Drosophila melanogaster: one gene and its partner. The gene in region 1 interacts genetically with each later gene. Each region holds a gene or a part of one and is shown in the gene's direction. Other genes may lie near its edges. The genes, in order: Syb and gzl.

Region 1 (5,642 bases):
TCCTCGTCGAAACCGCGCACCTTTAGGAAGTTCGAGCGGTACTGGCACGTCATTCCGTAGCCAAAGTCCCGCCAGAAACCGGTGTCCCTCGATATCACCAGTTGCTCCTCTTCGCTGGGCAAGGGCTTGCCCTGCAGTGAGTACACCACATGCGGATTGTACAGGCTAAATACGACGGGGTAGTAGACCTAAGCGTTGAAAATAGATGTTAATGTATTAGTAATTTAAATAATAGCAGATATATTTACCTTCTTTCCAGGCGCTGCATTCCAGCGACAACGCTCCAGGAACTTGGTCGTGAACATAATGTCCACGTCGCACATGAAGAGCAGCACGTCCTCCTCAGCGGGTTGAATGTGCTCCGCTCCCAGTCTTAAAGCTTTGGCTATAAGCAAAATGGCTATTATTAACTACCAATATTATTTGTAATGCATTATAAACTTGCATATGTATTATGAACGAAACAAATGTAATATTAATAAACGAAACCCGTGCTTACCCCTACTGAAAGTCTCATTGAGTGCCAAAAACTGAGTCCTTTGGGATCGTCCAGCCAGGCTCCTAGCTTGCTCCAATCCACTGGTTCCAAAGTACACCACAATAAGCTCCAGGCGACGATCCTCTAGCTTGGCGAACATCTGCAGGAAGCCGCGAAAGCTGTGCAGACGTCCAGCCAGCGGTAGTATCACGTGGATTATGGGCGGACTATGACTTGGAGGGGCACCACTATTATCCACACTGGAAGATAGCTCCGATAGCTGCACCGTTTGCAGAGGAGCAAATGGTCGCATGACCAGGGCTCTCCGCACTGGACTCGCCTGGTGCTTGACACTCTGGAAGTACAGCTCGTACTGGGTGCCTGTGGTGGGTTCGTTGCGGTATATGCCCTCGATAAAGTCATCCAGGGTGTATTTGATCACATCCGAGGCGTAAGCCGCTGCAGAACCAGCTCCCTTGGCTCGTATTCTCGCTGAGTGATTCCTGTTCAGGCTCTCCAGCGCCTTGTTTACCGCCTCGATGAGGTCACGTCGTCGATAACCGATGGGCTTCTCCACCACGCGCTTTCCCAGGCCCAAGTCGATGGGATATACTCGCGTGAAGGTGAAGTGATTGTAGGGTATCAGCTCGTACTCGTTGTTCAGCGGCAGTCCATGCAGAATTTCTGCGGCGCCCACCTGCTTGCGAATATAGCTGCTGCAGTCGTAATGGTGACCCAGTGGTGCAGTTGGTGGCCCCGCGGTGGTTTCTTGCAATTGAAGACTGCCATTTGATGGCTTGGCAGTGCTGCGATTATTCTGTAGAAAGAGGATTTGAGTGCGGAGAGCCAGGACTTCCTGTTTCAGCCGCTCAATTTCCGCCTCTCGTTCGCTTAAGGTGTAACTGAATCCGCTGGATTCACTCGGATTATTGGCTTGAGTTTCCCTCGTCGTCAGTTCATCGAATCCGCACTTTGTGAGCACCACAATGGAGGCGCCGGTCAACAAGGCGAAGAGCAGCAAAAGCCGCAGCAGCAACTTGGTCACCAGGGAGTTATGCATTTTCCATAGTTTCTTACAAAATTTTCAACCTATTGAAAATAATAAAATAATTAGTTATCTAAGTGCAATAGTAAAATGCAAACACACATTTGAGACTGTAAAAAAAACTAGTAACGAATTATCACAAATTTTATACATTGCTGTGGAATTCTACATTTTTATTACATATTATACATGTACATGGCTCGGTAGAACAGTTTATTGGTTTTTGTCTCTGCTATTTAGGCAACAGTGCGTTATTAATAATTTTCGCTGATCTTTTGTAAAAGTATTAAAGATAAATCAGTTAAGAGCAAACAAAAATTTCATTTTGGCTTGCGGCACTGGTAATTTAAGTAATAAAATAAGATACAATAATATAAGACATTGATTTGAAATCAAACATCATCTGCAAGGAACTAAAGAAAAATGGAATGCAAGTGCTTGTTAACAATAATTTGTGCGCCGATACACATACTAAATATACCAATTCATGTTTTTTATAAGCTAGATAAGTATTATCTTTTTATATTTGCAAGGGGTTTTCAGGAAACATCGATAGTATCGATAAGGTATCGGGCTTGGTTCCAGCTCTAATAGTTCAACGGTCACACTGATCACAAGCTGATATTTCTATAAAAAAAAATAGTGCTATTTAAAAAGCAGCCGCAGTTTTCCGTGGAAAACCCGAAATACACAGCAGTATTCTACAGGCACATTGTCAAGGTGAGTGCTCGGGGGTGGTGGGTGGTTGGGGGTGGCGTTCCACCCATGTAAACAGCGTTTGTTGGCAGTGCGGCATGCAACAAGTTCTTTTTTCGAGCAAAGGTGATGGCATTCCTATAAATCGAGTGATTCATAGGCCGAATAGATAAGGCGTGTGCTGCGTTTTGTTTTCTTTTCTTTTCGGCCCTGTAATCTAAACAATTTCGGGTGTGTGTGTGTGATGGAACATGCATTCTCCCCATTTAAAGAACCAGACATCCAATAAAGGCCTTTCTCTGCTTCGCTTTCTTTCCGCAGCAAATTCACAATGGAGAACAACGAAGCCCCCTCCCCCTCGGGATCCAACAACAACGAGTAAGTGGTGGAAATCCATCGAATCAACAGGCTCAGCGCACAAAAGCAAGGAAAATCCCATACAGTGACGTCACCTGAGTCATATGGGCCACAGCGAACCGGAAGTAAAGTCTTCGGACTTCACTTTCGGACATTGGAATACCGTAAACGTCATGCTGCTGCCCAAGCGGTAGCTTCAGTTGTAGTTTGAAATCAATTAGGGTCATTAAAAGCATTCAGTTAAGTTGAGATATTGTAAAGTCAGTTGCTATCTTAGATGGAATATTAATGTGAAATGGCAAATTAACTCGAATAACAAAAAAGTATTAATTATATTCGATTCTAAATTGTAAAACATTTGCAAGTAGCTTATAATCAGAAACAGAATTTGCTTATTAATCACTTTATCGCAAATGGTAACTGAACATACTTAAGTATGTTTCATTTAACATCTATGAAAAACAAATGAATATTACTCATTTTATATTTTTTTTTGTCAATGGAATTTCAACAGCACTTGAGATTGTGAAGTTTTATTAGTCTATCCGAATTTAAGAAGAAAGAAAGTATTTATAGGACACAAGTCCCATTATTAAAACGTGAAAGGTGAATTGGCATAGATAACGATGGCATGATATACCAAGACTCGTGCTTTTGTGCGTTGCAGCTTGATGATCCATCTGCTGCTCTTAATAAGTGTAAGCAACCCCCACAAACACACATAATATTGTACAGTTTTCCCATACTTCCGCCACCGCCGAACGCGAATGACAACTACAATCAATTCGGTGACCATCAAATCAGGAACAACAATGCAGCCCAGAAGAAGCTGCAGCAGACCCAAGCCAAGGTGGACGAGGTGGTCGGGATTATGCGTGTGAACGTGGAGAAGGTCCTGGAGCGGGACCAGAAGCTATCGGAACTGGGCGAGCGTGCGGATCAGCTGGAGCAGGGAGCATCCCAGTTCGAGCAGCAGGCCGGCAAGCTGAAGCGCAAGCAATGGTGGGCCAACATGAAGATGATGATCATTCTGGGCGTGATAGCCGTTGTGCTGCTCATCATCGTTCTGGGTAAGCTAACCGATTTTATACCGCTTCGGCTTTTTGCCTCTTGCTGGTGCTTCTTTCTGGTTGCGGTTTTTCTCGATCAGGCTAAAGATCAGTAGTGTAGCTAGGTGGCTGGTTTGGTTTGGTATTGTTATATCTATAACGCAAGTCGACGCCCTGCAAACGCCCTAATCTTGCTCAACCTGTGGTTTCGGTCCTAACAACTTGTCCATGTGGCTTGCAGCTAACTAATCCAATAACAGATACTCCTACTCGTACTGATGACAACCCCTTGTGAATTTCTGTTTACTTGCAGTGTCGCTTTTCAATTGATACAATTAAACACACACTCACAGAAAAACAAAAGCAAAGCCAACAAAAATCATGTAATTCCGTTTCCCAATCAGCAAAGTTAAGGTTCAGATTAATCGTTTAACACGTTTGTGTACGTGTACTGGCTCCTACTATATACTCCTTAAATTGTTTATTATATTTTATAAAAGTCTTAAGCTAAGCAACTCTAAAGCTCTAAAGGTAATTGTTGTTCTTGTGCCTGTCCTAAGTGTTAATTATCGTTATATTTGTTTAGTCTGTAGTGTGCGAAGATTAGAACCTCCATGTCATACGTGTGTAGACTATAAAGTTCATACATATGTATATAGCTTCAGCAAAGCTATTAAGAAGTTAAAAATGGTTATATCTACAGTGCAATGTTGGGGCTAGGGCTCTGTTCTATGGAGAAATTTCATTTTAAAAAGTCATTTCGATTTTATTCAAATTAAACTCGCGTAAAAAGTATTAAATAAGAATGACAATACGAAATCCGTGCTGACATCGAAAGGTATGTAAGATAGTAAGCGGGAAGATAAAATCTGACTTTAAAAGTTGTTAATTAATAAATAACTGAAGAAATCTTTCGTCAACAAAACGCTCAGTACAATGTGCTGGGTGGTTAGAACTTTTACTTAAAAAGACCGCGATTTCATTTAAATGCGAGATAGGATATGAAATCCTTTTCATATCTCGTTGAATTGATATAAACATAGCTCTAATATCTGCGTATTTCCCTTTTTAGTGTCCGTTTGGCCGTCTAGTAGTGACAGCGGCAGTGGTGGAGGAAACAAGGCCATCACCCAAGCACCGCCGCACTAAAGGCCTCCTAGGGAGTGAGGTAAACACATGGATACGAAATGGAAAAGGACCAAACAAACACAACTGGGACGGAAACCTTTCTGGTCTTTTCGCGCAATGAGAGAAGGGGAGATGAAGAAAATCAAAAGGATAACTTACTAAAATTGCGTCTAGCATATATTTAACCAGAATGTAATTATTAAATCTTAATGTTAAACTTAACATTTTTACGTGTCGTAGCCGAGACCAGAGGTCCCATTAATGTGTATTGCATTATATACAATTATATATACGTGTATATCATCCAATTGAAAATACATCATGCCACCTACACTTTAACCGGACCCATCAAGTCCACCGAAGTTTTATGGAAACGTTTCGCGGACAGAGCCATTTATTTACATTCAGCGTTTTTGCTTAAGATGCGCGTGCCATGGAAACAGTTATCGATTTTCCGGCAAACCGAATCGAAACAAGACGACAGCAGTCGCGGGCACCCAGACAAACTTGCCCCATCGACATCGAGGCACTGACCAATTGCCGCAGGAACTGAATCGTCTCGCATAAACATTCTGTCCCAGCTGTTCCGATAGTCCACGCATGCGTTCCACTCATTCGATGTTCTTCCGATAGAACAGGTACACGAATATATCATGAATGTCCGCGCGCCATCCCATCAATTCTATAAACGAGGCTGTCGTCCACACATAGCCCATATATAGGGCAAAAAAGTTGAGGTAGTACAGCTGGCCGATCAGTATGTAGTCCCCGGTCGACTCCTGGCGGTAGAAGTTCGGCTTTCGCATGGAAGCGCCAAAGACTATGACAAACTGTGGGCAAAATTGGAGGAATACTGTGTCGTTATTTTAAAAATGGGAAAGTAGGTGTA
Region 2 (7,944 bases), on another chromosome or scaffold:
CGAGGGCGGCGTAGGCGAGAATGCAGCTTTCTATGTGTTCACCCATGCACCAGACGGCGCCATTGAGGCATACCCCTTGACCGAGTGGTACAACTTCCAGCCTATTCAGCGCTACAAATCGCTGTCGGCGGAGGAGGCCGAACAGGAATTTGGTCGGCGCAAAAAGGTGATGAACTACTTCTCCCTTATGTTGCGAAAGCGTCTGCGCGGCGATGAGGAAGAGGAGCAGGATCCGGAGGAGGCTAAGCTAATTAAGGCAGCCACCAAAAAATCCAAGGAGCTCAAGATCACTGACATGGATGAATGGATTGATTCCGAGGATGAGTCGGATTCGGAGGACGAGGAGGATAAAAAGAAGAAGGAGCAGGAAGACAGCGACGATGGCAAGGCCAAGGGAAAGGGCAAGAAGGGCGCAGACAAGAAAAAGAAAAAGAGGGATGTTGATGACGAGGCCTTCGAGGAGTCGGACGATGGTGACGAGGAGGGCAGAGAAATGGACTACGACACCAGCTCCAGTGAAGAGTATGTGCCCCAAACGATTCTGATAATGGCAATACAATTTGGACCACATCTACTAATTTCTTATACCCTATTCTAGCGAACCAGATCCAGAGGCAAAGGTGGACAAGGACATGAAAGGCGTGGCCGAGGAAGATGCGCTCCGCAAGCTGCTTACCTCCGATGAAGAGGAGGATGATGAGAAGAAGTCTGATGAGTCGGACAAGGAGGATGCCGACGGCGAGAAAAAAAAGAAGGATAAGGGCAAGGACGAGGTATCCAAGGACAAAAAGAAGAAGAAACCCACAAAGGACGACAAGAAGGGCAAGTCGAATGGCAGCGGTGACTCGTCCACAGACTTCAGCTCTGACAGCACAGACTCCGAGGACGACCTTAGCAACGGACCGCCCAAGAAGAAGGTCGTCGTCAAGGACAAAGACAAGGAAAAGGAAAAGGAGAAAGAGAGCGCTGCGAGCAGCAAGGTCATCGCCAGCAGCAGCAATGCCAATAAATCTCGCTCGGCCACTCCAACGCTCTCGACGGATGCCAGCAAGCGCAAGATGAACAGCTTACCCAGCGATCTCACCGCTTCGGACACAAGCAACAGTCCCACCAGCACGCCAGCAAAGAGGCCTAAGAACGAGATTAGCACATCGCTGCCCACTTCCTTCTCTGGCGGCAAAGTAGAGTGAGTAAAGCCGTGATATACTGGAATTCCTAATTCTAATTTCATGTATTTTGTTTAGGGACTACGGCATCACCGAGGAGGCGGTGCGTCGGTATCTTAAGCGAAAGCCCCTGACCGCCACCGAGTTGCTCACCAAGTTCAAGAACAAGAAGACGCCTGTCTCCAGCGACCGTTTGGTCGAGACCATGACGAAAATCCTGAAGAAGATCAATCCCGTCAAGCACACCATCCAGGGGAAAATGTATCTCTGGATCAAGTAGCCCGCAGTCATGTGATTTTAATGTTTCATAACTCAAATGCATTATTGTTCAACACAAAATATAAACGCACCACTGAAAATCGGTTAATTTTCTTGGTTAATTCGAAAAGGCAAGTAGTATTTTGCACAGAAACTGATTTTAACCAATTCATTGTATTTGTACTTCTAGAATCTTAAAAACTAGTTATTAATGCTATATCTTAGTATTATATTTCTATATGGTTTCAGGTTCTGAAGTTGAGAATTCTAAATTCTGTACAATGATCTGAAACAGTTGCTGAGAATACTGGATTTTAATATTTTTAAAATTTTAGTCGATAGCTATCGAAATATGGGAGTAATCGATGTACGAAAACATCGCCGTCAGGAAGCCAGCAGCAGCTATACATCGATTTAGTTCCAGCTCTAGCCCTGTATATGTGTCTGTGTTCGGGTGGGATGTAAATTCTAATATCCGATAATTAGAAAAGTGAACCAAACCCAAAGCGTTCTTATCGCGACTGTCATGCTCTTTTCGCAGCCACTGCGCTGTCCCCGCTGAACCACGACCACCAACTAAAGGAACCCGAGGAGTCCGAGCCCCAAAAGGGAGCAAAACAAAGTACAACGCAATACCAGTGCGATGGCGACGAGTGAGGAGGCGAGCGAGTGCTGAAAAAATAGGATTGGATACAGGAACTGGCCAGAAGTCGCTCCAAACGGTCAACTAAGAGCACGAGAAGCCCTAATCAAGTGAGTGACCAGTGGATTTACGCGAATGGGCGTCGGGAAAGCAAAAGGAAATCGCTCAGCTGCTTTGTTGTTGTGCTAATTGAACGCACACAAGCACAGTAGCAGGCACGCACACAGAGGCGCCTAAAAAAAACAACAAAAGCGAATATACGAAATTTAAGTGCAATAACTTGTGGGCTGCTGCCTCCAATCGAGGCCGCTTTTCACCTGTAACCCACCGTTGTACACCATTCAGGAAACACCTGCCTAGTGCCTATGTATGTATGTATGCGTGTTTGCGTGAGCGTATGCCCTCCCCCAAAAAGGAAAACCTTGAAACCACACTCGTGCCTTGTAAAGTTCAAGGTGTGTGTGTGTGCGCGTGTTTGTGTGTTGGTGGGTGGGTGCTGCGTACGCTGTGTAATGTGTAAATTGATATCGGCCTTCCAAACAAAGCGAATTAACGCGAATTGCATTCCTCGTCGCTAAACATTCAATCCGTATGTCAGGATTGTTTAAAACAATCCAGTCAATACATATGTATCTCTACATATCCAGATAGCTACTCTAGCTTTTTTGCAAGCGCTTTTGCAAGGAAAATTATATACAAGTTTTGAAAATTGCGAAATGACCATACTATTAATTGGCAAAAGATCGCCAAGTTGCTAAAAAATTGTGTAGAAACATATGCGATAGTAACCAACATTTTAATAATTTGTTGAACTACTTGTTTGTCAAAGGAATAGCATTCTAGTTGAAATCATCTTAAAAACAAACTCCTTCTACACCGTAGTCGTTTCTTTATAACATGCCATGAAATGGAAATAGAATGTTACATGGTAGGATCACCAACTCATACCTGAATGCAAAGACTGTTGGGCAATCCGTAGGGCGTAATTCTATTAAACGCACGCGCCTCCCCAGATTGAATTTCTCATTGGAACAACGAATGTCGGCCTCCCATTTATTGTTTAACCATCCAATAAAAACAAAGTCACGTTCTCATTGGAGCCTTTGCTCCGATTGTCTACCGATGTGCTAATGCCAGTGACGTTTTCTTTGTCAAATCGTAACTTTAATAAACATTTTGTGACATATTTGCACACCTCCCCTCGGCTGTGTATTAGCAGAATTTGTAATATATGTACGAATAGAAACTTTCCACTTTTTCTGCCCCAACTGTGGACCGACGGTGCGTCGACGCTAAATAGTTAAATGTGCATGCGGTCTGGGTTCTGGTTTTAGCATGGAGCGGTGTTCGTGACTCATCAACCTATTTGTTCCGACTACAGCAGCTGCCGCCCAAGATCTCGGCCACTATTATTTGATCGCGATAAAATTAATTGATGGCAAATTGAGTACAATAGCAGCCAAGGAGCGAAACGCGTTGATTTTTCTGTTCTGTTTGAAGTAACCATTAATGCATTCGCGAAAACCCGAACGAACCGTCGTCTGCCTGACTGTGTCAACAAACAAACCAGCTGTAAGTGCAGCGTGACTGAAGAAACGCAAATTTTTTCAGAGTAAGCAAATCAACAATACCCCCAGTTGGCCGTTTATCTTATCAGCTGAGCTCTTTGTTGCCATGGCCTCGTAGGCGGAGAGGTTTACGCCTAGGTTGACTACACGCAGGATAATACTCGAGTTGCAAAAATTATTATTATTATTTATATAAATAGTTATAGCACCCAAATAAATAATCATTCATAATATGTTAAAAAACATTTTCTTTTGTTTTAAGTCCGAAGTCCAAGCGCACAGAATCGCTGGCGGTGGGACACAGATGAGACATGCGAATGGTGCGGATGTTGAAGACAAATCGCTACAGCACTGGACATAGCGGACTAGAGCAATAACAGTACAGACCAAGTCCCGATCATCTCCAGAACGTGTGTCCTCCGCGACAGAATGTCCAAGAGAAGTTGCCAGATACTCACCCTGTTGGGCTTGTGCCTGGTCTGTCATGAGGCGACCTTGGTCGGGGGCCACGTGCTGGTTTACCGGAAAGCAACCAGCCAGGCAAGTTCAATTAATGACAAGTTTAACTTGCTAATATTTTAGAAATATTATTACAAATTGCAAATACTTATTACGCCCATCGTATATTGTTTACTCACAGTTGATCGAGGAGTTCAATGATCTGCCAGCTCAATTCGGTCCCAATCTGCCTTCAAATGGTCTCAAAGTGTATGTGGTTCCCGCTAGGCGCCCTTATTACGGTTGTGATAGCCTGGACAGACCACCGCACCTGAAATACCCACCCTCAGCCAAATTTGTGGCACTTGTAGCGCGGTAAGCTATATGTGGTAGATATAAACACTTCAGTTCGACCTAACTCAAATCTTTTGTAGTGGCGAATGCGTCTTTGAGCGTAAGATACGAGTGGCCCAGAATGCGAGTTATTCTGCTGTGATTGTTTACAATAATGAAGGCGATGACTTGGGTAAGTGATTACACATAGGTGCTCAGGTCTAAATATGATTTGTTTAAACCCATATTCAATTACAGAGCAAATGTCCGCCGAAAACATAACGGGTATAAGAATACCCTCGGTTTTCGTGGGCCACACGACGGGTAAAGCGCTGGCCACTTACTTTACGACCGAGGTGGTGCTAATCATCAACGATGAGCTGCCCTTCAATATCAATACACAGTTAATATTGCCGTTTTCCATTCTGATCGGTATGTGCTTCATCATAATGGTAAGAAATCTGGAGTTTTAACGCTGTTTTACACAACTGAATTGCTTTGATTGCCGAACAGGTTATCTATATGATCTACAAGTGCATCCGCGAGCAGCGCCGCTTGCGTCGCCATCGACTGCCAAAGAGCATGCTGAAGAAATTGCCAGTGCTCCGATATACCAAGAACAACGCAAACAACAAGTACGACACCTGTGTGATCTGTCTGGAGGACTTCATAGAGGACGATAAGCTTCGCGTGCTGCCCTGCTCACATCGTAAGGGATACAGTCTTGGTTATTTGCTCAGCTTTAGTAGTTTCAGAATATATCATATACAAATGCTTAAACTAATATGACATCGCCAGAAAATTCTTTAATGCAAAGACAACATATTAATTCGTTATTACTTTCAGCCTATCACACGCACTGCATTGATCCATGGCTTACCGAAAACCGTCGGGTGTGTCCCATTTGTAAGCGCAAGGTTTTTACGAAGGGCGAAGCGCGTGCAAGTCGGAGTCGACAGCCTTCTTTGGATAATGTCACGGATACGGATGACGACACAACGCCGCTGCTGCAGCAACAGCAGTCCAATGGTAGGCAGGTGGGTCAAGTGAGCTCGGCTTCTTCGGCTGGTGGAGCAGCTGGGAGCAGCTCAAGCGTTGCGGCGGCGGCTGTCGCTGGAACCACGCGACATGGAACCTTCCGCCGTGGTCACGCCGGTCGAAATCCGTTCGAGGAGTCCCAAAGCTCTGACGATGAGAACGGTACGTCTGCTGCCGAAATATTTTTTTTGATTTTTTTAAATAACACACCCTATTACTTGTACAGCTCTGCTGGCCTCTACTGTGCGCCCGGCCACGTCTTCTGGAGCACATGAACGCATCAATCCCTTTGATCGTGCTCCGAATCTACCGGCCCACCTAGCCGAACAGTTAACTGAGAGTCGTCGCTCGGTCTGGTCGAGAATAAATTTTGCGTAATTATATATTTGTGATGAAGCTCACTGGTAGAAGGTGCATAACTTCCTGTTTTTACTGCTTTTAGCTCGTTCTTCCGCCGGCAGCCAGCTGTTATTAGTGTGGCGGCGCCACCCTATCTGGAGCGCGTTGAGTCCGGTACCAGTGCCATGGGTCTGCCGGTGACGGGGACAATTGCTGTAGCCTCGCCCGCATCGAACAACATCCTCAATCCGAATTTAAGCGGCTCCTTTAAGGACGAAGACGATATGCCACCGCATCGTTCGATCTACGAACCGATAGCAATCAGCACGCCTGCAGCTGACTCAGCAACAGTCGACGATTCGGCGTTTCTGCAAACGCCCACGCAAGGCGGCATAGGCGTGGCCGCCCTGCCGCACAGCGCATCCGATCGCCAGTTTCTCATATGAGGCGAGCTAGTTCGCCGCGAGTCCTTAGCCTGTAGGTTGTAGGTGGTCGTCGATCCTTGAGAGATGAGACATGAGCCCAGCCTGGGTACGAGTTTTTCGTTTGGGTTCGCGATCAGCGCTGTGGCTGCCAGCTTCTTTGTTTTAAACAATTAACATATGTTTATTATTAATATTAATAAATATGTAGCCGAACCTTGTGTTGGACTGTGCGCTGTCCCACTTCCAGGGCACCCACCCACAAAAATCCACACAGACACGATACACACACACGCGTCATTTATGTGCGTATAGAAATTGTGATTTATTTTATATACATTTTACAATTAACCCAATAATTGGCAAACGAAATACAGCCTCGCCGGCAAACTCCCAACCAAAAATGTAAACGATAGATGGAAGAGAAAAAATACCAAGTTACCACATCTAAGATTAAATTGTTTACCTGATTCGCATGAATCTTTGATTCAGTTGTTCTACAAAATAAAAAAAAAAACAAAATATTAAAGCAACACTCAGCACACCTATTAAACTGAATCACGAACATAGTTACGTTTTAGCTAAGATCGTCTTTTTATTTCGATGTTTTTGAGAACTGCTTTTCAATACTATTACAATGAAAACAATTAAATCAAATGATTGAGAGGCACTGGCCTGTATATTGTACATTATTCTCGTTTTAACTAATTTTAAGTTTACTGTGTAGCATATGAAACTGAAATCCATTGATGCAATAGATTGTCAACTCATCTTTTCTTTGAAGAGCAGAGTCTTTAAAATATGATCAAATTATATTTCAAGTCAAAACCGATGCCACACTCACACACATTTGTGATTATTTTTTCCCAAAAATAATTAATTATGCAACAAAAATGCTGTTCCCATAAAAACGAAATCAATTAGGGCATAGATGCAAATATATATATTTAAAAATGCTGTGGCAGTGTAACCTAAATTTAATTTACTTTCAACAAAATAAACGTAATGGACCTAAGCTAATCAATCGCTGTTTCTTATTAAATTAAAAGTTCTTGGCTGTGGTATATTTTATCTTTTATTTTTTTGTAAATAGAAACTAAATAGGATCCAGGACACGTAGTCTGTCAGTTTATTTCAAAACGAAAACAAAGGGAAAACGGAACGGTATCATCGACTATCAGATACCTCTTACTTAGCTATTGTGGGTGCGGGGGATCAATTCAAAATTCTTATGGAATCTCGCTGGAAATTTGCATAACATTTTTAAATTGATTCAAAAAATAAATACTTCTTCCAAACTGTGTTAAAATAGTATAAATTCAAAATATTTATAGAACAATAGGGTGTGACAGTTTTTGGCTATCGATAGAATGATATCAACAAAATCTCAAGACTTCAAAATTGTGGCCTTTACGAATTTAGTATAACATTTTACTCCACGAGGAATTGGTATAAAAAAGATATCATATTTAAAGCATACTTTTCGGATATGCGACAAAATCGGACGAAAACTGCTTTTTCAATTTCGTGGTTAAAAGGCTAACGGTAACATCGTAAACCTAACAGAAAATTGGCAACATATTTGGAACATTGACTAACCGACAGATCAATGTCCACTTACCTTATTTCTTACTGTATTTGAAGTAATGTATGCACAATAATTATTTCTTTCAATTTTGATTGTAGTCTAGGAATAATATATTTTTAATACCAACTGGGAACGTATGCAGCTGTTCGAA

Evidence for each region.
Region 2: of Syb (region 1) and gzl, changing one suppresses a phenotype caused by changing the other (phenotypic suppression), as found in Drosophila melanogaster (one study listed by BioGRID).

The regions. Positions count from the first base shown.
Region 1 is NT_033778.4:10,248,883-10,254,524, reverse strand, and holds Syb (synaptobrevin), read left to right. Parts: upstream 1-2,107; 5' UTR 2,108-2,243; intron 2,244-2,352; exon of another isoform or gene 2,353-2,450; intron 2,451-2,540; 5' UTR 2,541-2,550; coding exon 2,551-2,597; intron 2,598-3,311; coding exon 3,312-3,646; intron 3,647-3,938; coding exon of another isoform or gene 3,939-3,955; exon of another isoform or gene 3,956-4,156; intron 4,157-4,697; coding exon 4,698-4,774; 3' UTR 4,775-5,090; downstream 5,091-5,642. Other genes in the region: Csgalnact (chondroitin sulfate N-acetylgalactosaminyltransferase), read right to left, coding at 1-188, 249-385, 500-1,538; CG12914 (uncharacterized protein), read right to left, coding at 5,365-5,583. UniProt on the Drosophila melanogaster protein: Involved in the targeting and/or fusion of transport vesicles to their target membrane.
Region 2 is NT_033777.3:6,381,084-6,389,027, forward strand, and holds gzl (godzilla E3 ubiquitin protein ligase), read left to right. Parts: upstream 1-1,830; 5' UTR 1,831-2,438; intron 2,439-3,251; exon of another isoform or gene 3,252-3,639; intron 3,640-3,897; 5' UTR 3,898-4,064; coding exon 4,065-4,175; intron 4,176-4,275; coding exon 4,276-4,448; intron 4,449-4,507; coding exon 4,508-4,599; intron 4,600-4,664; coding exon 4,665-4,858; intron 4,859-4,919; coding exon 4,920-5,115; intron 5,116-5,252; coding exon 5,253-5,606; intron 5,607-5,670; coding exon 5,671-5,818; intron 5,819-5,886; coding exon 5,887-6,229; 3' UTR 6,230-7,221; downstream 7,222-7,944. Other genes in the region: TfIIFalpha (transcription factor IIFalpha), read left to right, coding at 1-522, 599-1,186, 1,245-1,446. UniProt on the Drosophila melanogaster protein: Endosomal E3 ubiquitin-protein ligase that regulates the recycling endosome pathway by mediating ubiquitination of Synaptobrevin (Syb).